3 linked regions of the Tamandua tetradactyla genome follow. The protein of the gene in region 2 purifies or fractionates together with the protein of the main gene of each other region. This does not show direct contact. Links are inferred from orthologs where the notes say so. Each region holds a gene or a part of one and is shown on either strand. Other genes may lie near its edges.

Evidence for each region. Proteins that work in one complex are often made in the same cells at the same time.
Region 1: the proteins of SNRPF (region 2) and DDX23 purify together in Homo sapiens (co-immunoprecipitation; 3 studies listed by BioGRID and IntAct, counting the BioPlex papers as one, with this or other methods). This does not show direct contact. The link is inferred for Tamandua tetradactyla from reciprocal best matches to the Homo sapiens genes SNRPF and DDX23.
Region 3: the proteins of SNRPF (region 2) and CDC40 purify together in Homo sapiens (co-immunoprecipitation; 3 studies listed by BioGRID and IntAct, counting the BioPlex papers as one, with this or other methods). This does not show direct contact. The link is inferred for Tamandua tetradactyla from reciprocal best matches to the Homo sapiens genes SNRPF and CDC40.

What each region holds. Positions count from the first base shown.
Region 1 is NC_135333.1:109,743,657-109,751,531, forward strand, and holds the start of DDX23 (putative ATP-dependent RNA helicase DDX23), read right to left. Parts: upstream 3,067-7,875; 5' UTR 2,965-3,066; intron 1-2,964. UniProt on the Homo sapiens protein: Involved in pre-mRNA splicing and its phosphorylated form (by SRPK2) is required for spliceosomal B complex formation.
Region 2 is NC_135333.1:165,942,149-165,950,205, forward strand, and holds the start of SNRPF (small nuclear ribonucleoprotein F), read left to right. Parts: upstream 1-4,987; 5' UTR 4,988-5,180; intron 5,181-5,375; 5' UTR 5,376-5,538; coding exon 5,539-5,541; intron 5,542-8,057. UniProt on the Homo sapiens protein: Plays a role in pre-mRNA splicing as a core component of the spliceosomal U1, U2, U4 and U5 small nuclear ribonucleoproteins (snRNPs), the building blocks of the spliceosome.
Region 3 is NC_135331.1:168,750,291-168,758,208, reverse strand, and holds the start of CDC40 (pre-mRNA-processing factor 17), read right to left. Parts: upstream 3,067-7,918; 5' UTR 2,864-3,066; coding exon 2,696-2,863; intron 2,486-2,695; coding exon 2,237-2,485; intron 1-2,236. UniProt on the Homo sapiens protein: Required for pre-mRNA splicing as component of the activated spliceosome. Plays an important role in embryonic brain development; this function does not require proline isomerization.

The DNA.
Region 1 (7,875 bases), about 56 Mb from region 2:
CTGTTCCCTTCCTGCCTGGGGGACAAGAACACTGTTGACTGTCCCTTGGACTACTTCAGCCAGGAGTTAAAATGACAGCAAATCTGAATCTTCCTCTATCCATCATCATCATCCTTAAGGCTTAGGATACATTTCTCAGAACTTACTTTATACCCAGCTGGTTCAGCTAGAATATCAGTTCCCTAAACTTTAGCTTGCAGTCCCCTTTTTCATGCCATCCCCTGCCATGTATCTTCAAAAAGGAAATTTAAAAAGGTGAGAAAAGAAAAAAGAATGCATAGCACTTAGAAAAGGTGGAAACAAGCCACTTGAATCTGACAATTTCCTTAGAAATGACTGAATGTTCTATAATCGAGAGACCATGTATATCACCTGGAAATTTTATGTCTCCTACTTATAGCCCTAAAGAAACACTCTAGAGGAAAGGCTACCTGCTCTATAAAGGATCCTAAACTTCATTCATTCTTTCAATGAATATTCATTGAGCACCTATTGGTGCCAGAAACTATTCTACGTGCTGGAGATTCAGCAGTAAACAAATCAAAGACTCTACTTTCTAGTGTGGCTTACAATAAATAATTAGGCAAGAGTAAGAACACCAACAAAGTACTAATGAAGAAAATAAAACAGTGATATGATGAGAAAGGGAACGAACAAGAGATAGAAAGCTTAGGAAAGAATTTTTTAGATTACATTTAGGCTGAGACTTGAACAAAAGGAGAGATAGCTATGCAAAGATCAGGGAAAATAATCTATTAGGTAGAAAGAATCACAAGTACCGAGGCACTAGGGCAGGAATTACCTTAGTATGCTTGCTAATTAAAAACAGACCTGCGTGACTGAATGGCAGTAACCCAGGGGAAAAACTGATTCAAGATGAGGTCAGTGAGGTAGGTAGGACTCAGATCATGGAAATGTGTTACAAGCCACAGCAAGGAATTTGGATTTTAATCCGACTATGTGAATGTTTATGATATGATATGGTATAATTTAACATTTTAAGAGAATTACTTCAGTAATTTGCAAGAAAATATGTGGGGGGGGGCAAGACTAAAAAAATAACCTCTGAGAAAACTATTACAGTAGTGTATGCATAAAACTGATGGAAAAATAAGAATAAAAAATAAATAATGGGGGGATAAGGGGTAAAAAAAAAATGGGTAGATTGAAATACTAGTGGTCAATGAGAAGAAGGGTAAGGCAGTTTGGGATGTATGAGTTTTTTCTTTTTCTTTTTTTCTAGAGTGATGTAAACGTTCTAAAAATGATCATAGTGATGAACACAGATCTATGTGATGACATTTTGAGCCACTGATTGTATACTTTGCATGAACTGTACATGTGTGAAGATATCTCAATAAAAAAAGAAAGAAAGAATGGTGGCTTATTCTAGGAAGATGGCAACGGAGATGGAAAGAAGTAGACAGCTTCAGGGGATGCTCTGAGAGCTCAGTTGACAGGACTTACTGATAAGGAGAAAGAGGGGAAGAGCAGACACAAATATAACTCCTAAATTTATGGTTTGATCAACTTAATGGTTAGTGGTGGCAAAACTGAACGAGAGAAGACTGAGAGAGGAACAGATGAAAGAGGAAATCAAAAGTTTCACTTGGGTTGAGTGTGAGATGTTAATAAGAGAACAAAGAGGAGATTCCAGGAAGGCAGACACATATGCAAATCTGGAACCCACGGGAGAGTTCAAGACTGGAGACAAAAATATGAGTCAATCAATACATTAAGATGGCTTTTAAAGTCATGGCACAAAATATTATTTAAGTAGACAGAATAGTTAACTGAGCTCTGGGGTACTCTGACATTTTAAGAGGTCAAGCAGAGGAGAAAGAGAAAAAAACTGGAAAAAAAGCAGTAATGAGAAAAGAGTAAAAAGGAAAGTATAGCACTACAGAAGCCAAAAAAGTGTGTCAAGGAGGGAGTAATCAACAGTGTCAAATACTAATGAGATGGAGAAAAAACAGGAAAGAGAGAAGTTAGCAATTCATTCGGAAAAACGGAGATTGCTAGTGACCCTGACAAAAGCTATTTCAATTCCACAGAAGGAGTAAAAGCCTGTGTGAAGAGAGCTAAGGAGAGAACGAGGAGAAAAAAATATAGACAGTAAATACAGACCATTTTTATTACAGGCTTTACTTATCAAAAGGGCCAGATAACTAAGCTGCCCTGGCTATTGATTCCCTGTCAAACAAACCTCCAGATCTTTGAGTTCCTCAGTTCTTGTAAGGTAGGGGCAGATTTTTTCGTTCAAGTAAGTATTTTTCAATTGTCTACTATATGCTAGGCACCATTCTAGGCACTCTGTGAGTTACAAAAGGAAATCAGGAAGATCCTACCCACAGGAAGTTTATAGCTCAACAATGGGGATTAGACACAAGCAAATAGATGCCAGGGTGAAGACTCAGATAAGTATTACCGGAATTCAAAGGGGTTTTAATTCCGTTTGTGAAAGGGGAGTTGGAAGGTTCCGTAGAGGAAATAGTTCTTGAGCCCTTAAATATAGGTAGAATTTCATGATGTGTAATTGAGGGCGAAGAAAGGAAGTCATTCCTGGCAAAAGAAATAATACAGGAGGAGCAGAGGCGGGAAAGCATGCACTGGTTCTGGAAGAAAAGCCAGAGTGCCAGTTTGGCTGCAGCAAGAAGTACTCGAAGAACGAAGAAACCAAGTCGAACTGAACAGGGAATATCAAGGGGCTATGCCGTGGGCAAATGTCTGGGCCCCTAACAACGTCGACCCGCGTCTAGGGTCTTGGCCTGGACCCTAGGAGCCAACACTTTCAGCTAAGGGCCCGCGCCCCTCAGCTTTTGCCCACCAGAGCTTCCCACGCTCGTGCTCCTTCCCTGAGGCGTACTTCCCCACCTCACGCCGGAAGCAACGGCCACCGCCGTGACCCCACTCTCGCCCGCTCTTGCAAGGTACTGAGAACCACCTCTCTCGCCCGGGACTCACCACCCTGAGTGTGAGCCGCCCAACGCGGCCTTAACGTCGCCGAGCAGTCGCCATCTTTCCCGTTTCCTGGTCACAGAGTTGAGCCCCCGGCCGCGCGGCAAGCTGGGAAGGCGAGTTCCGGGTCCTGAATGCTGCAAGTCAACAATAGGGCCTGGAAACTACCAATCCCAGAATGTACGGCGCGAGCGCCGACCCCGGCCGCGGGGTCTGCTGGATAATGTGGTTCGCCAAAGTGTTTTGCGTCTGCAGGAGGAGGAAGTTTCGTTGGGTCGACTTCCCGCGTGGAGTTTTCCTGTCGCGCAGTCTTTCTGGAATATGCTGGTCTTCCTAGGAACTACAGCTAATGACTCTCATGGCTTGTCCCTTAACAGCGGAGAGATTTAATGATTTTCTTAATTATAAAAGTTAACTGCAGCAATAACAACAAAATACTGTTTCTGAAAAAGCATTTTTACAAAAATTCTGAGGTAGAAGAAGATTATTAGCCCCTTAAGCTAAGGGTTAAGATACGGGAAAGAGTAACCTAGTATTTCACAACGAGGATGGATCAGTTCTTCCTTGTGCGGTACTATCCCACGCTTTGGAGGACATTTAGCAACTGTGACCCTGAAGGAGGTAAATGCCGTTAACAACCCCCTGTTATAGTGACAACTCGAAATAAGCCCACATGTTTCCAGCGGTCATCTGGGAGAGTGTATTTGTCCTGCTTGTGATACCTGCTGTCCTTCAGCATTCCAGACAGGACCTGGCTTCATTTTCTTGCCCTTTGGGATCTAGCCAATTGTTGAGCTATCTTGGGATTTAGGCTTTGTTCTCCCTCTCCCTGAGCTCTTTTACTCCCAAATTCTTTTTCTCTTTGGTCTTATGGTTTCATAATATTCCCTAAAACCAAACTAAAAAACAAAATCCATGCCACTTATAGGACAGTTTAAATACCATGCATGAAGTATCTTGTGCCTCCTTCCTTCCCATTTTCTCATCATCACCTTTGTTATCGCAACCGCACGGGGCTGTGGGTCCCGCTACTCTCTCCAAATATGCTTCCCATTCTTCTCAAACAGAGCTTCGAGATAAATGCAAATACTTCTGAAGCCCTGAGCCTCGCACACAGTGGCTCAAAGTAACCTTGGGAGTTACTCAGAACTCTGCTGCCTTTGACCTGCTCCTGACTTCTACCCAAAGGGAGAACAGAGAGAAAGGAAGTCTGAGATCTACTAAGTGTACTACAACCAGTGAACACAAGAGGGCCCTCCACTCACAGATTGGAACCACAACTGAAAATCAGACCTTAAGAGAAAGCTGGAATCTTTAGAGCTGCAACTAGCATGCGCTGAGAATCTTGTAAGTGTCGAATCCTACACTGAACATGTTGCTTTATGTTGAAACAGCTCGAAGGATATTAAGGAATGATGAGAAGGAGAGAGATAAAGGAAGAAAAGAAAGACAGATGCGAATGGGTTCAGGGGGTCTGAAGCTTAAATCTACATCAGACATCAGACAACTTTATTCTCAACCAGATCCCAGTTATATACCACAGGATGTCAATAGATACGCAGGCATTTCCTGAGGGAGCAAGATTCTTATCTCACAGTGTTCTTCATACTTAACATAACTGTTTTGGGTAAACATTCTCTTCCTCCCAGACTGCTCTACATAACAATCTCCACAGTTTACCGCCGCCATCCTGAGGCCAGCAGCTTGCAACAAATTCTGTAGGTCTTGCTTTAAACTCTTGGCTTCTACATGGACACTCAACCCACCTTACTTAGTTCTCATAACCATATGAGATGGCTATTATCTCCATTTTGCCAATGAGGAGGCTGTGGTCCAGCAAGGTTAATTTTGCCTTAAACACTTAGCAAGGTTGGAGCCACTATAGCCCCTTCCAACATGGTAAAGTTAGAATGGGCATAGCCTGTATACCCCTAAAGAGTGCCCGCCCCTTCTCTATATAACTCCCAGGGGTGTGGACCTCCCTGGCAACATGGTACAGAAATCCTAGAATGAGCTGGGACTCAGAACCAATGGATTGAAAAAAACTTCTCAACCAAAAGGGGGAAGAGAGAAGTGAGACAAAATAAAGTGTCAATAGCTCAGAGATTCCAAACAGAGTCAAAAGGTTATCGTGGAGGTTATTCTTATGCATTAAATAGGTATCACCTTTTCAGTTAAGGCATAACAGAGAGTCTGGAGGGAACTGCCTGAAAATGTAGACCTGTGTTCCAGTAGCTATGTTTCTTGAAGATGATTGTATAATAATATAGCTTTCACAATGTGACTGTGTGATTGTGACAACCTTGTGTCTGATGCTCCTTTTATCTACCTTATTGACAGATGAGTAAAACATACTGCATGAAAATAAATAATAAGAACAAAGGAATGTCATTATTGCAGGGTGCTGAAGATAGATGATAATTAATACTTTAGAATGTCACCTTATGTGTGAGACTAAAGCAAAAAATGTTTATTTGTTACAAAATTTATATTTTGACAAGAGCATTTCCTAATACAACTCATGTAGATAGTTTGATTGAATGTCATAAGTACTTAGAATCTCAGGTAGGACATGAGATTTTGTTGGTTTGTCCAGAGTGATGCCCCGATGAATCCCAGAGTGATTTGATCAGTGAGTGGAAAAGTATTTGCAAGCCCCCTTCAGGGAATGGTGAGAGTGGGGAGAAATTCAACTTCCCCAAGTTGAATTCTTGATGTTCTCACAAGCAGTGTGGACAACCAAAGCTGTAGGCTGAGCCCCCAGTCTTGAGGTTTGTTCATATGAAACTTGACCCCACAAAGGATAGGTCAAGTCTACTCAAAATTTAGGCCTAAGAGTCACCCCCAAGAGAGCCTCTTTTGTTGCTCAGATGTGGCCTCTCTCTCCAGCCAACATGAAGAGCAGTCTCACCACCCTCCCCCTCTCTGCGTGGGACATGACTCCCAGGGGTGTGAACCTTCCTGGCAAGGTGGGACAGAAATCCTGGAATGAGCTGAGACTCAGCATCAAGGGACTGAGAAAAACCCTAGAATGAGCTGAGAATTAACATCAAGGGATTGAGAGAACCTTCTCGACCAAAAGGGGAAAGAGTGAAATGAGACAAAGTGTCAATGGCTGAGAGATTCCAAACAGAGTCGAGAGGTTATCCTGGAGGTTATTCTTATGCATTAAGTAGGTATCACCTTGTTGTTCTAGATGTAGCGGAGAGGCTGGAGGGAACTGCCTGAAAATGTAGAGCTGTGTTCCAGTAGCCATGCTTCTTGATGATGATTGAACAATGATATAACTTTCACAATGAGATTCTGTGAATGTGAAAACCTTATGTCTGATGCTCCTTTTAACTACTATATCAACAGAACAGTAGAACATATGGAATAAAAATAAATAATAGGGGGAACAAATGTTAAAATAAATTTAGTTTGAAATGCTAGTGGGAAATGAAAGCGAGGGGTAAGGGGTATGGTATGTATAATCTTTTTTTTCTCTGTTATCGTTTTATTTCTTTTTCTGTTGTCTTTTTATTTCTTTTTCTAAATCGATGCAAATGTTCTAAGAAATGGTGAATATGCAACTATGTGATGATATTAAGAATTACTGATTGTATATGTAGAATGGAATGATATCTTAATGTTTTGTTAATTTTTTTAATTAATAAAAAAAGTTTATAAATAAATAAATAATAGGGGGAACAAATGTTTAAATAAATTTAGATCGAAATGCTAGTGATCAATGAAAGGGAGGGGTAAGGGGAATGGCATGTATGAATTTTTCTCTGTTGTCTCTTTATTTTTCTGAATTGATGCAAATGTTCTACGAAATGATCATGATGAGGAATATACAATTATGTGATAAAAAAGAATGTTCATATTGTTTGTTGATCGGTTTTATTAATAAAAATTTTTTAAAAAGAGTGGAAGAAAGATCAAAGGGGAGAGTGGAGTTATATAGAGAAGGTAGAGTTTAACACATAAGTATGAGGGCTGAATCATTATACTGATGTTTCTTTTAGTCTCCAGTACCTTAGAAGGTAGAAGGTAGAAACCTAAAATTGTGGAATTGTAACCCATACCAAACTCTGAAATCTGTTCTACAATTAATTGTTGCGATGTACTTTGAAATTTGCTTTTTTGCATATATGTTATTTTTCACAAAAAAGAAAAAAAAGAGGAGGAATATAACAGAGAAGATAGGATTTAACAAATGAGTATGACTGCTGAATCATTATATTGATATTTCTTTTGGTCTCCTGTGTCTTGGAGCAGCTAAAATAAAAAAACAGAAAAAACGTGGAACTGTAACCCAAGCCAAATTTTAAAATCTGTTGTATAACTACTTCTTAAAATGTACTTGGAAATGTATTACTTTTTTGTATACATGTTATATTTCACAATTTAAAAAAAAAAAGGAAGATGGAGCCAGAATTCAACTCCAGAATCATCCAACTTCAGAATCTATGCTTTCCCTATTTCCAGGCTACCATTCTTCACCATCCTTAAAATTAAGGGAATTGAAACCCAGAAAGGTGACAAAGCTTCTCCAGGTTCGTAGTGGCAGAGTTCCCCTAGTACTTGTGCATACCTCACTCACAACACATATAAGACATATCAGCTTAAAGGATATTTGCTGTTTGTCTTACTCTGCTGGTTCTTTTTTTTAATGCAATTTTATTGAGATATTTTCACATATCATATAATTATCTAAAGTATACAATCCATGGCTCACAGTTATCATCATATAGTTGTGCATTCATCACCACAATCAATTTTAGGACATTTTCATTATTCCAAATAAAAAATAAGAAAAGAACACCCCAAATATCCCATACCCCTTATCTCCCTATTCATTTATTTTTTATTCATCTTTTTTGTACTCATCTGTCCTACATTGGATAAAGGGAGTATTAGTCACAAGGTTTT
Region 2 (8,057 bases):
CCTAGCCCTTTAGTCTTCTCTTCTCCTTCTGGGGGATGGCAATAATTCTCATATTTGTGTGCTTCATATTGTCCATCATTTCCCTGAGATCCAATTCAAATTTTCCTTCTTTTTCAACATTTGTTCTTTTGTGCATTTGAATTCAGTTGTCCTGTCTTCTAGTTCACTTATTTTTTTTCACCTCTTCAAATCTACTGTTGTGTGTCTCTAGTATATTTTTAATTTGAGCTACAGCAACTTTCATTTCTGTAAGGTCTGTTATTTTTCTATTTATTCTTTCAAATTCTTCTTTATGCTGTCTAGTATCTTCCTATCTTTTTTTAGCCGACCCACTGAACTTATTTAAGAGATTCGTATGAACATCTTTGATTAGTTGTTCCAAATTCTGTGTCTCCTCTGGTGTTTTAAATTGGTCATTTGGCTGGGTCACAATTTCTTGCATCTTCATGTGCTTCGTGATTTTTTTGTTGACTTCATGACATTTGATTATCTTGAAAAAATTAGTTTGAAAATTGATTTCAAAGTCATCTAAGATTTTGGAGTTGTTTGGGTTTGTGTTGAAGGTCTCCTTTTGCACTTGGTTTGTCAGCAGTTCTCTGCCAAACCAAGGCCGGGACCTCATGCAGGAGATGCAACTCTAACTGGAGATCTTTTAGAGGCTAGGCAGAATGGTGGCTTGCCAGGCTACACCTCCCTGGTCTTTCCAGCAGATGGTGCTCTTGGGCCACCTCTCTCCATCAGGCCTGACTTACCCCTGCTGGATCCCAACCCAGTGTAAAGCCAGCCAGGGCCGCAGGTCAAGATGTGCAGTGAGAGCCACCATCCCCAGGGCCGGGGGTGGGCAGTGTGCACCACGGTGGGGAATCCACTTGTGGGCACCATGGGTCTGGTGGTTGCCGGGCTCCTGCGTGCAAAGACTGAGGACTGAGTATTACAACTGCCCCTGTCCTCAGCCAGCCAGGAGTGCCTGGGGGTGCTGCACGGCTTGCCCCATTGTCCCCACCTCTCCACCCATGCATGCTGTGAGCACTCCAGGCCTCCAAGACAAAAGGATAGATGTAGCAGGACCCAGGGAGTCTCTCTCACTAGCTGTCAGATTGGCTCTGCTCTGTGTTCCCCCCTCCTCCCAAGGGAAGGGCCCCCCAGCCTCCACCCAAACCAGGCTCCCACAGCGACTTTCCTCAGGGGTTGGTGGGCAGGCCCTGTGCACTGGCAGCAAGGCCTCTGCAGTAAACCAAGTCTGCTGGCTTTGTAGTTCCCCACGGGAGCCCCAGCTGCAGGGCCAAGAGGGAAGACCTCTCAAGCTGAAATGGAGGTGGGCAGGAGTGCAGGAGCATTCGGCTCCACTCCAGCCTGCATGCTGCAGCCTGCCCCAGTTGCATCACAACTGAGTTAACTCACCCCATCTTCTCAGTCATAATTTCTGTTTTTTCATCCAGGTCCTCCCTAAATAATGTAGAAGTCCCTCTTTGGTACTCATACCCTGGAACTGCTGTCCTCCTGTCACTTCTCTAGTTGTTCCACAGAGCAGAGGCGAGCTCAGACTACCCTATTCTGCCATCCTCCCTGCATCCTCAGTTTAATTTTTAATAGGCAATTCACTCAAGGGTTCCAAAAATAGAACATATAAAACAGCACATACAGTAAAAAGCCTCATCCTTATCTGCTTTCAACCCAATTCCCATTATACTCCAATTAGGGTAGCCAATGTTCTTAGTATTTAGGAATCCTCCAGTTAATTTATGCACATACAAATAGACTGTTATTTCCCTTTTCAACACAAGGTAACACATTACATTATTGTGTCATACTTTTCTTAGTAATTTATCTCGGAGAGCTTTCCATATCTATTTATGGATACTTCTTTCTTTAGTACAACTGCAAATATTCTATTTTGTAGATGTGTGACAGCCCATCTACTGAGTTGTTTATTGATGAACACTTTGGCTCTTTCAAACCTCTCTTCCTGGTCAGGCTCTGCACCCAGCCTCCGGGATGCCATCTGTGTGGACACCTTCCTCACCCAATTTGGGCCCATGCAGCAACCCCCATTCCACAGCATAAATGCCTTCTTTGCTCAGCTTCTCTTGAGGACCTTAGGACTGAATTGTTCAGGAAGGAAAGAGAGGGAGTCTTGTATTAACTCTTAATGCTCACTACCACTCTGGGAGAAAGGAGGAAGTATTCTTATTTAATGGTGGAAAAAGCTTATCGAGGTTGAGTTCTCTTCCCATGTTCTCACAGTTAGTAGATGTTGGAGCCAGGATTCAAACCCAGATTCAAATCTGGTCTCAGACCAGCTCTGGGAACCATGATGCTGCTAATCACATAAACCATCATATAAAAAGTGCTGTTAAGTATATTATATCAATGTTTTCAGTGACATCTTCTGATACCTCAAATATTGTCCTTTTTTATATAACCTTGTTATATATATGAACAAATCTTATAGCCCAACTCAGGCTTTCTCAGCCTTACTTTGTCTCTCAGGTTTTCGGCTGCTAGTTCCTAAAAACAACGCTGTAAGAGAAGTACTGTCCTTGTTGTCCTCTCTTTATTGATGCAGAAACTGAGGCAAGATAAATTAACTAGCACATGGCAGAATGAGGATTTGAACTCAGGTGGTCTTGGCTCCCACCACAGTGCCAGGTTTCCTTTGAGGTACAGTTCCCTCTGTATGATAGGAACAGGAAGTGCTTTGAACCACCAAAAAGACTTTGATTCTAATTTAGGTGTAGTGGCTTTATGAGTTAAGGAAGTTAATATATATAAATATAAATATAAACATAAATATAAATATATATATATTGGCATGGGCAGGCTCCGGGAAGTTAATTATTTTTGAGCCTTAATTTCTTTACGAGACAAAATACCACATCTCTCAGGTATAACACAAAATGTGTAAAGCATCAACTAAATAGAAGGTACTTGAAACTTAGATTTTCCTCCCTTAAACTTACTTTAGCCATAACTATAACTGTTTCTGACTATAATCATAGAAAAACAAAATGTTGAGATTATGGGAATAAAAGAGAGAAAATGAAAGGCAGAGATCATGGATTTCAAAGAGAACTTTCTGAACTCTATTCCCCTTCATCCTTTTGGGGATTCTATATATTTATTTATACTCTATTCAAAAACACTGAGAGGGTAGGCATTGTCTCCTAGGCTTTGGATCCATTTCACCTTCCACATGGCCTTGGACAAAAATGCATAACCTCTGTGACTGCCTCCTCTGCTCCGAAATGGGGACTATGATACCTATCTTGACATATGGTAAGGACTTAAAATAAATAACATGAAATACACCAGCATAACATGGCAGGCAGTCAATGTGCGTTAGCTCCCTTCCTTTCAAAGAGGTTTTTAAGTTCCACAAGGGCAGAGATTACATGTCCAATTTACTCACTATTTTACCCTCTGAGTGCCTACTTCATAGAAGATTCTCAATAAAAATTTCTTGGTCATTTACTAAATTACTCTAAATGTTTGTTTACATTGGAATTTTTGGATCATGTGCTGAGGTGTGGTAGCACTCAGGTCTTACCAACTTGCTCAGCCTAATTAATAACTCGGGACAGTTTCCTCAAAGTGTACCCAAAATGTATTCTATCCTTTCTTCAAAAAATGTAAACCTTTTTATTTCCCACAGATTAAACCAATTATTCTGATAGATATTCTGTTGAATCTTTGCCAACATGGCAAAATATACTTCTAGAAGTCTTTAAAATAATAATGTCCTTTAACCCAGGAAGGATCGGAGATTTATTTCAAGCAATCAGAAATACCCTCAAAGAGTCACACACAAATATGTTCAACACACATTTATGGGGGGAACTGGGAATGACAAAAGAATGATTAATTAATCATCATATATGCATAAAATAGTAGAATGGAGGCATTAAACCACACTTTAGAAGAATTTTTATTTATATAAGAATTTGCACACTATAAAGTGAAAAGTTACAAAATATCTGTTTTTAAACGTACATATGTTACAATAACTGTACAAAGTAACAAAGTAAACTTTGTTGACTTTGATTGATGGAATTACCAGTGATTTTTGGTTTAATTTTTAGAACTTTTTGTATCTTCCAAAATTCCCACAAAACATACGTCTGGCATTTATAGTCATAATATTCAACGTGAGAAGAAAAAAACAACTTTAAACACAACTAGCTTTACAAAGATTAACGTTTGGGGTGAAATTTTTTCTTTTACTTCACTGAGAAAATGGCTTTTTTTAAAAAGTCAGACTTCTGAAAAATATAGCTGCCGAGCCCGTTTGCTCATCTCATCTCTAAAATGGGGCTGGTAACTGCCAAATCACAGACCCCGAGGGAAGATTTCCTCGCTAACGGCGGTCGAGGGCCTGGCAGACATCGGAACGCAAAGTCTGCACGAAGGCTAGGTATTTACTGAGTAATTGTCAAGATAAGGGGAAGTCCATAGACATCTGGAGTAATTACAAAAATTGCTTGGCATAAACTATTCTAAAACAAAAGTAAACCGACAGCGCCGCTCCAAGCGCCTTTCCACGAACCTGTACTCACCGGCCCTCGGGACCCGGCTGGGTCCCAGCACAAGTTGTAGGAACCAACGGCGCCTCTCACCGTCCTGAGGTCCCGAGGCCCCAACCGTCTTCCTTCCTAACACTCCATCCTCGGCCCAAATTCCTCCCCCAAGGGCCGCAGCAAGTTCTCAAGAACTGACTGGGGTTCCTTCAGGGTAGAGAGGAGCGAGGATCGAGGGCCCGGGAGGCGGGCAGGGCGGCCCCGGCACCCGCTCGGGCCTCGACCGCGCACGCACGGAACGGGTCTACCGGTCCCCGCGGGCAGCGGAAAAGAAGAGGAATGGCAGGGACCGCCACCCCGTTTCCAGACTCGGCTTCACCTCATCGGAAGTCAGTTCCGGACCTGACTTTCTGCGGGGTCAGAATGAGCACTACAGAATAAAAAGGACCCGCAGGTACAAGGAGACCGTGGCAGAGGCGCCGCCATCTCTCCCGCCGGTCATAAAATCCGCGGGAACGTAAAGAAGACACTCGAGATGCCCGAGCTCGTTCCCATGGAAGTACAGGGCAAGGGGAATCCCTAGCACAGAAATCACGTCCGTTTGGCATTGTGCACAGCGTCTCCCAACCCGGAGGTCTAGACAAGGTTCTTCCAAAGGCCCCCTGGGTGAGTGAGCAAACGGCGTGTCCAAGGGCCCCCCGCGGGCTCTGCCGGCCCCCAGGGACCCGTGTCCCGAGCGCAGGGCCTCAGGCTGTAGCCGGGTCCGCGACCCCGAAAGCACTCGCGCACGACGTGGGTTGCCAGGAGACGTGACCAGCCGCCTCCTCCAATCAGCATGCATCTCTTTGCGTCCAATCACAGGCGTCAGGAGGGCTGTGGTGGAGGTGAAAGGTCACGCTGCTGTTTGGCGGCCATTTCTCCTCAGGTTCAGAGACCCCCGGCCTACGACAGCCGCTCCAGACACCGGGGACGGACGACAGCGGGGTCGGAGGCGAGCGGCCTGCAGCATTCATTGGTAGTCACGATGGTAAGAAGGAGAGAGCGGCCAGGCTCACCGGAGAGGGCGAGAGGGAGGGCAGCAGCCTCGCCCGGCCTGGTGGCGGTTTCACGCCTTCCCCATTCATTCGCGTGAGGGGCCGCGCGCGCTGCAGCCAGTCTCTTTCTCTCTGATCTGGAGGGGTCTGAGGCGCGCGCTTCTTCCGGAGCCCTCCTCGCCCCCTCCCCAGTAGGGCCCCTTCCCTTCTTCGTTTGCATCCGGATCTGAGATTTCCCGCTGGCTGGGACCACCGGGTCTGGGTAAAGATGAACCAGGGTCTTGGATCGCTGGGTTCAAAAACCCCCAAACCCACTTTTATTCCATGGTGTTAGGATACTCAGCCCTGCAGCCCTCTGGAACACAAAGCCCAGACTTGAGAGCATTCATTTATCCATTCAGCAGATATTTATTAAGCGCATATTACTTACTAGATACTGCTCAAGGGCGTTAGGAATATCGTGTGAAAAATATTCATGTTTACCCTGTCCTAGGTGAACTCATGGTTGTTTGTGGAAAACAGACGTTACTCAGTAATAGGAGTAAATATATAGTTGCAAGTAATGATAAGTGGTAATAAGGAACTAAACAGGATGCTGTGCGGGGTGATGTGCCTGGGTGTGGAGATGGATGGTCAGGGATGGCCTCTGTGGGAGGTGGGATTTGACCAGAGACCTAAAAAATAGAAAGACTGAACTACAAGAAACATAAACAGAGGCCCTAAAGTCGTAAAGAAAGCTTGACCAGTTACACGAATTGACAAAAAGCCACAACTGCATGCAAGAAAAGTGATTATGAGATAGGACAGGAGGAGCAGGAATTGGGTAGGCCCTTTTAGGCCATGTAAGGGGGTTTGAATTTTATTCCAAGTGTAATTGGAGCCATGTAAGCATTTTAAGCAGAGATAAGATGTGACTGAATATATACTTTAAAAGACAGTGGTTCAATATAGAATTATCATATGACCTGGCAATTCTACTTCTGGGTACATAAGCAGAGAAAATGAAAATAGGGTCACAAACAGATACTTGGACACCAGCTTTTATAGCAGCATTATCCGCAACATCAAAAAGTAGAAACAACCCACGTATCCAACAACAAATGAATGAATAAACAAAATATGGTGTATACACATTATTTAATGTTATTTGGTTGTAAAAAAGAATGTAGTTGTGAGATGCTGCCACATGGAAGAACTTTGAAAACATGCTGGGTGAAATAAGCAAGACACTTATGTTCAGGTATTGTATTTTATCAATCATAAAAGTTGACTAGAAATAGCGAATTGCTAGAGGTGGAAAGCAGATTAGAGGTTACCAGGAGATGGAAGGGGGTGGGGGTGAAGTAAGTGTTTGCAAAAAAAAAAAAAAGAAAGTGGGAAGATGTGGACTTTATTCTCAAAAAGAATTGATCAGACAAATAGCAACACGGTAAATCTTGCCTCAAAATTGAGGAAGAGATGAACTAGAGACAGACACAAAGATCACAAAAAAGGAAAAGTGGAAAGGGAAGACATGGTTGACCTGATCATAATGTTTATCTGACAAGCCTATTTTCTACAGATTGATCATCTAACACTAGATTAAAGATGTTCATAACTTTTCTTAACCAATCATTCTTCTCAATGAAAATGAGGACAATGATTTCATCTTGGAAATTCTTGTGAGATCAAAGGGCATTCGTTTCCACAAAAAGATAAAAAATATATAGTATTTTTTGAAGTCTCAATAAATATTCACATTTCCTACAACAAAATAATAGTTGCAGTAGTGATAATAAATTGGGAAGAGATGAGTAAAAACTGGAGACCCATTAGGTGCCTATTTCCATTGTCTCCATGTCCTTTGAGATCACTTTGAATATGCTATTCTTAGAGGGGCGATTAGTAGCCAAGTTTCATGGTTCTTTTCTTTGTGCTTTTGGGTGAACAGATAAGGGAAAGAGAAAAGTCTGAACTCACCTAGGATACTACTGGTTGGCTTCATAAACAGAGGTTAAGTGATTGCCCATACGGAGGCAGGCATTGCTAGGCATTAGTGATAGCAAGTCAAAAAACCCACCTAGCCCTGACCTCAAGAATTAACGTGTGAGTTAGTCAAACATGTTCTATCTTGTGCTTCCTTCTGTAGCTTCATATTTGGGGCTCTAACAGTACTGAAGTATTTGTACGTCTCTGCGCTTGCCTTGTTACTTCACCTTTCCCTGCTTTTCTATTGGTAATCTGTGCTTTAAAAAATCCCTTTTTTGGGCGGTGCAGCAGTGGCTCAGTGGCAGAATTCTCGCCTACCATGCCAGAGACCCCGTGTTTGATTCCCAGAGCCTGCCTATGTTCCCCAAAAAAGCCCTTTTTCCCTTCGAACATCTCTCATCCTTTATGTTACCTCTACCCTCATGCCCCCCAAGCTTCTTGGGGAGGGGACGATGTCATTTGCATTTTTTTAGTGCCTTTAGCTTTGTTTCTTTAGAACCTGGAACAATGAGTGATGTAAAGTAGGCAATCACTGTTTAAG
Region 3 (7,918 bases), on a different chromosome or scaffold from region 2:
TACAACTCCAAGAGATAGGTACTACTGTTAGCCCTGTCTGCAGATGAGAAAAAAACTGAGCCACAGAACACTTGACACAGATTCAAGACAGATGACAAAATTTGACAACTGGAACACCTCCAACAGCATTCAAGAAGAGTAGTTTCCCAAGAGGCTAAGGCGAGTTTACACTGGGTTAAGGAGAAAATGAGATGTAGAAGTGAAGAGAGCTCCAAAAAGAAGATCTGTGAAAGGACGACTCAGGATGTTGCTGAAGGGATACAAGTTTGGGGAGTTTTGTTTTGTTATCAAGATAGGATTCTAAGCATCGTTTTATGCCATATGTCCAATAATAAAAAGTAAAATTCACGAAGGTAATTTAAACCTTAAAAACCTGTAAAAGACTTTTTTTAAGTTATAACATTATACTTGGGAGCACCTTAAATACAAAGGAATTTTTGCATTCTGTCTCCTCTTTCCACATCTTGACCTTCTGATCATTCCTATTGGGCTTGTTTGGGTTTACACTACTGTACTGGTTTGAATCTGTTATGTACCCTAGAAAAAGTCTAGGTTCATTTTTTTTTTTTTTTTTTGCATGGGCAGGCACCAGGAATTGAACGCCAGGTCTCTGGCATGGCAGGTGAGAACTCTGACACTGAGCCACCGTGGCCCACCCAGGCCTATGTTCTTTTAATCCATCCTGTGGTGCAGACCTATGTGGGTGGGACTTTTTGCTTAGGTTGTTTTCATGGAGATGTGATCCATTCGATTCAAGATGGGTCTTAATCCTTTACTGGAGTCCTTTGTGGGAGGATAAAAGACAGTACAAACTCAGAGAAGTTGAAAGAGAAAATATCCTGGGAGAAGCAAGAAGGACCCACAGAAGCTGAGAGAGCCATTTTGAAATCAGAACCATGAGAGAAGGAACAGGAGACGTTGCCATATGCCTTTCCATGTGACAAAGGAACCCTGGATGGGAACAGCTTTTCTCAGAGAAGGTATCCTCTTCTTGATGACTTAATTTAGAAATTTTCATAGGCTTAGAACTATAAATCTGTAGCCTAATAAATCCAATCATTTCTGGTATATTGTGTTCCAGCAGCTTTAGCAAACTGAAATAACTACCAACTGGTGAGCTTCTGTCAGTGAGCTTCAGCCATACTAGTGTTTTCTTAGTTCTTCAAACATACTAAGATCTTTGCCACCTCAAGGCTTGCTGTGCCCTTTGAGGGGGAACTCTTACCTTAGCTTGTACATTGTTGCATCCTTCTCGTTCTCCATTTCCAAATCATAAGCCACCTTTTCAGGGAGAGCTTTCCTGACCAACTTATCTAAACTAATATTCTTACCTTATTCTCTATCATGGCACTCTACATTATTCGTTCACAGTACTCAGCCCAATCTGTAACCGCCTTCTTTGCTCACATTTTATTGTCTACCTGTCCACTACAATGTATGTATCATGATGGCAAGGATGTCTGGCTTGTTTGCCTGTGTTTTCAGCCCTTAGAAGGGTTCGTGGCAAATAACGTGTGCTCAGTAAATATTTGTGAAATGAATTACATAACCCACATCTCCCTCTAGCACTTTTCTTCTACTGGGATCATGTACACGGTTTCGTAAATCCAAGGTCTTTTTCTTAAGTATACCAACATATACCATCATAACAACTAGCATTTATTGAATTGTCACTAGGTACCAGGCACTGCGCTATTAATTTATATGTATCATTTCACTTACTCTTCACAATAATATACTCCCATAGACAGGTACTTTTAAAATCAAGAGAAGGAGGAAGAGGTGGAATAACTTGCCCGGGTTCACACACTGTTAGGGTCGGAATTCGAACTCAGTTCTAATTTCATAAACAAAACAAAGCCGAGCCACTGCTCACTTCAGTAACGGCACATTCTTTATTTTGGGCGATCCTAATCTCTCTTTATTTATGTTTTCAGATTGCACTTGCTCTATGGAGGCCACGTTCTAATATATACACTCAAATTTCATCCCCTTCTTCCACTTGCTTTCTTAGGGCCGGGGACAGGGTGAGAAGCAGTGGAGGGCGGTCCTGAACTTCCAATTCTCCGACTCAGCTGAGGAAGACGCATGTAGGAAGCACAAGAGATTCAAGCCTCAGAACTTTCTCTCAGCACTGAGGAAAAGGTACAAGGAAGCCTAACAAGCCCTAGCTGGCGGCGGGTTTTGGAAGAGAAACCAAAAATTCCCGCACCGCAGCAGCGGCCAAAGCCCTTACCTTAACTGCCACCTCCGGAGCCGAGTCCACTGCAACTGCCAGAGAAGGCTTGGCCGAAGGCAATTTAGTCAGGTGCATAAGGGATTCGGCAGCTGGTAGCGGACATCGTCCGCTCTCACTGTCTGAGTCCGATTCGGACCCTGAACCCGAACCATAGGAAGCAGCCAGAGCTGCAATCGCAGCCGACATGACGGCAACAGACCCGCTGCGAAGACCAGGCCCGGCGGAAGAAGAAGGGGCTCCCAGGTCCTGACAGATTACCACAGAACATATTATTTGCCCCGCTTTACTAAGAAAGCGTTTATAACATTTTCAAACAATCAAGTAATTACAAATATAGTAACCCCCAAGTTAATAAAGAATTTGGAATCATTTATCTAGGGAAACACAGAGAATAAAAATAGTTTATAACTTTCAGGACCTATTTGACTAGCTTAAAGACTACGAGTACCGAAATACCTTGAGGCCTTGCGTTCCTGACTTCCGGCGTGCTGCGCGGCGGGAAGTGGGAGAAGGCACGATGGGAAGTGTAGTTTGAGGTGAGGGGGCGGGACCGGCCTGGCAGGCCTCTCTTTGATCCCGCCCCCGAAAGGATGGTTCATTCAATTGGCTATCATCTTCCCTCATTCCCTAGCCAAGCACTGTGCTCTCCGCTCCCCTTCCCCCAAACGGAGGATTGGGCAATACCACACCGGTTCAGGAAGGGGGGTGGGGGCGGTATATCCATCCTCACGGACAGGTGAGTGGGCAGAGTTTCCCACAAGGGTTATGCCTGGGCACTGGGAACTATAGAAGAAACTGAGTCTTAAGTTCGAAGACCTTAACTGGCGGGGAATAGCTCCCGCTGGGAAGGAAGAGAGGTTAGGTGACGGGAGTCCAGCGGCACCCCCGGCTTCCGGCGCGTATCCCCGCGCCCGGTTGTGGAGCGTCGCGCGCGGGGAGGGGGCGGCCGGGGGGCGGCGGCGGTTCCCGGTGTTGTTCGCTCGCGCGTCGAGCACACTGTGGGTCCGGCGACCGGTTGGCGCCGCAAGCGGCGATTCCGGTGGCCTGGAGCCTCGGCCGCCGCCAGGAGCGGATTCCATTCCGAGCCCGACGCTCCTAGGTGGAGCACCAAGATCTGAGAGGGTCCGGCGGCCGCCGCCAAAGCATGAAGAAGGGCTAAGGCAAGAGCCCCCAAGATTTCATGGTGAGCGCGAGTCTCTCAGGAATTTTTTTGGTGGGTGCGGGGGATGCTAAGATAGGAACTCTTCCTCCACAGCCGAACAGAGAGGTGTGTGTGGCTCTCTAGCCCGGCAAATGTTAAGGAATGGGCGCGCCTCTCCCTCCGACGACCCCCACCCCCATTCGTGGGTTTCCCGAGCTCCCGCCGCCCACTCGCCGGCCAGGCTAGGTGCCGAGGGAGACGGGGGCTAGCGCGCTTGGGTTTCGGTTGCAGGGACCGCACTGAAGCTGCCCTAGGCAGAGAGATCACCTGAGGTGCCATCGCCAGAACCCCCCCCCCCCCCCGCCCCGCCACCACGTCTCCTGCCCGCCTGGTGGCCCCCTTGCCTCCTCGTTTGCGGGTAGGCTGCAGCACCGGGTCGGAGAGAATCCCCTGCTCGCTCTTTGAGACCCAGGCTCTGTAAAGCAAGCTCGTGCGTTTGCGTGTTTGCGCGGCGAGTCGGTGTCTATAGACATAACGGTAAAGCCAGTATGGGAAATCCTTTATTCGTTTGAAGAGGAGGCAAAGTGGTGCGGTCTCCTCTGATGCCTGTTAATGGGGACCCCTTGGGCAGAGTTAGGGAGCAGCTCTCTTAGCTCCGATGTGGGCTGGACTCGCCCATTGTGCCACCCAGATAATTATTCAACTATGCAGCATCCATTGCACCTTTTCCATTTTTCTTTTCCCCTTGCTACAGCATGCCCCCTAGCTTCTGTACTCTGACGCCTTTTGCACTCGCGGATGGTAAACTGAAATAATGATGAAAAGAAAGCACATTCTGTCCTAATGTGCTTTACTACCTGTCCTAAAGCAATTAATAAATCCCTAGCTCGGCTAGGTGCTAGAATACGACTCATTCTAATCCTATCCTTTTCTATGGATAGGGTGCCTCGGATTAATTTTCTTTCTTGGGTGTTAGATTGAAGTGTTGTCTTATTTCTGTTCAGTAAGTTAATTTATTGCCTACTCAACACGTCTTATTTATTGTTCTTAAATTGAATTTCCATGGTAACTTCCATTTTTCTAATTGTTGATAGAAACTATATATATATATTGTCGATATAAACTATATTTATCATAACTACAAATGCAGTATGACTCTGAACTCTCAGAAACAGTTTTGCCATTATGCTCTAAGTTTCTTTTGGGAAAAGAAACTTATTATTTATGTCAAATATTTCCTTAAAATACTTGATATGAAATTTCTCAAGTTTTGATTAAGAAAAGTTTTGTATTTCTTTATTTTTCAGTAGCAGAATAATTGATTGCTAATCATAGCCGTGATTTAGTTGAATGCAAGAATTTAAGATGGGGTTTTAACTGTCATATTGAGCATACCCTAATTTATTTAAATTTTATTTTTATTCAGTTCTTTTCTTTGCAATTTCGATTATTATGATTGCTTGTAGAATTTTTTTCTCATTTTTCTAACTTCTATCCACAAGGATGGGTAGTCTCCATTTTTGCATGATCTGTCATATCAGAAAGATGAAATATTTTTGGAAAGTATAAGAAACAACTTGATAATTATGTTAAAAACTGTTTACATATCATTATTTAAAAATAAATTATTCACTGCTAAATATGTGTTTTCTTTTTATTTTTTAATCCTCCCTTTCCAGCTTTCATTGTTTAAGCAGTTGCACTTTTCCTTTTAATAAAATGAAATTGTGCATAGGCATTGCAGAGGCAGTTGTTTTAAGGTACGATAATTGTTTTATGGTACTTGTAAGTGGCTCACATATAACTTGATAGCAGTAGAATCAAATCCTTGTTTAGGAAATGACATTGCAATTTACAGAACAGATACCTCTGTGCCTTGGTTTCCTTGTATGTAAATGAAGACACTACCCATTTACTTCTCTAGGTAGTTGTTTGAATTTAGTAAAGATGTTTTTGTAATGCTTTTAAAGGTAAATATTTTAGTTGATGAATCATGAAAATATTTGTGTAAAATACAACGAAAAAATGTCGTTAGAATTTCCCCTCGCACTTTAGAATGGCTGATTCACATTGAATTTTGCTTTGAAGAGGTATAGCTCTAAAGTGAAGAATGTTTTTCATCCATGAAGAGTTTTTAATATTTGCAGATTTATTGATCTCGATATGTCATTAATATTGATGAAAAAATTTTATGACTCTATAATGAAACCAATGGAACACTGAATTACGTTTGTTAAAAGTAAAATCTCCTTAAAATATTAAGGCCTTTTTCATTGAAAAATTTGCAGATGACATAATCCAGAATACATAGTTGTGATCATTTCTAGGGTTTAATATAGAGCTACTTTGTTTATCATTCAGGTTTGTTAAAATCTACATCTTCAGAAGCCATCTATTAATAGTATATGACTATAAATTATTATGCATTTTGATTTATTACAAGAATAGTTTAAGATATCTTTTCTCGGTGTTTGATTTTTCATTGCCATAGTAGTTAGAAGCTTTTGATTTCCTTATTGGAGAATTAACAGTTCATTTTCATAGCAAAAATTACCATTAAGCTGTTATATTATTAGAACTTTTACCAAAACAGTGTTTTTGGTTACTTTATGAAAAAAATTCATATAAATATTGAGTGTTAAATTGTCTTTAAAATTACTATTGTGTTTTTTCCTTTGTGAATTAACTTTGTTACATTTTATAATCATTTTTTAAAATGACCAATTAGAATTGAGCTGTGGGGCGGGCAGATGGTTGCATAGTGGTAGAGTTCTTGCCTGCCATTCTGGAGACTCGGGTTGGATTCCCCGTGCCTGCCCATGCCAAAAAAAAAAAAAGAGTTTGAGCTGTTATTATTCTCAGGTAAATGCATTTAAGTCAAGCTACTTGAAGACAGGAACTGACTTGATGTGTAGTCATACATTCCAAGTTTTTAGCATAGTGTCTGGAAAATAATAATGCCTCAGTTTTCTTTGTTGGCAAATAAAATGAATGAGTGAAAATATCCATTAAACAATTGACTGGGTAGAAATTTAAATCTAAAAATAGATTTATCAAACTAAAATTTTAATTTGTGAAACATCACATATCTTTATGTGATATGTGGGGGTTCTTTAAACTCCATTTACCTGTACAGACTTAATTCATAATTCCTTTACTCATCCATTTTTTGAACTAGCACTAGATACTGAAAAATGTATAACTTGGCAACTTTTCAGTTGTGAAAATATGAACAATTTTATTCTGACCTTTTATAACTCATTTGATAAAAATATGTGTTAATTTTTTTGTTTTTCCTAAATAAGATGAGTATAGAAATTGTTTCTTTTTTATTTATCTCAGTTTTCTAGTGAATTATTAATAAAAAGATGTATGTATATCAAATCCTGTGTTAACTGCCTGAATACCTAATTTAAAAATAAATGACCTCTGTGGTGGAGCTTTTTATAAATGAGGAATCTTGTGTTTTTAATTTATCACATCAAATTTATAATTTACTGGTAGTTCCTACCTTAGACTGGGATTGATTATATTGTAAAATGGTTTAAAACCCATAACTTAATTTTCTAATAGAAACAATATTATTGGTGGTTAGATTTTTAGGTGGTCTACTAAAGACTGTTTAATCCATAGTATACCTATAGGATTATGCTAAGAATATTAGAGAATTATAAAAATTATAGTACTAGTATAAATAATATATTAAAGTATCTCTAATAAAATGTCTATTTTCTGTGGAAAAATAATTCAGAATCTAGCTTGAAATGCTGCGAATACCTTTTCTCCTATGCTGGACCTCACAGGATTATTTGGAACTTTTCTCTTGACAATTGGACATGAAGAGAAGGGCCTTCCTCAGTTCAGTGGGTGCTGTCACCTTCCATTATCTGGGGCAAAGGACCAGGGAATGAGGGAAATTGGAAAGAGATGGGGTCTTTCTTCCCTGTAACCATGGGCAAGTCACTTACTTCTCATGGTTTTCTTGGTTGTAAAATGAGAAGGTTGAATCAAGTGACCACTGAGGTCCCTTCTAGCTACAAATAAAATCCTAAGGTACTTTCTGCTCAGTATAACCCCCTTTTACTGTGAATTCATTTTCCTTTTCTAATTTCACTGTTTATTACTTCTGGCCAGGGTATTTCTCCTTCCTGGATCAATTTCTAGCAAGAATAGTCTGTTCTCAGAAGGAAGCTTTTCAGATTTTAGAGGTATTTTGTTGTTCCTTTTATATTTTGCTTGTTTGTTGTTGTTGTTGTTGTTTTAAAGAAAACTCCTAGCACCACCAAGGAAAAGAATTAAGATAATCTTTCTTTTCCTCTTTTGAGTTATTTTTTTATCAAGACCCTTTAAGTAAAGTCAAAGTAGATTTTATTTGTCCTTTGATAAAGATCATATCCATTGAATCTTGAGAGGAATTGCTTTCTTTTTTAAAGGAAAATTATTGGAACTGAGGTTAGGGAGTGGGAGTATAATGGAAAAGAGATGGAATGTGGCCTGAGGATAGGATTGCCAGATAAAATGTGGAACATTCTGTTTTT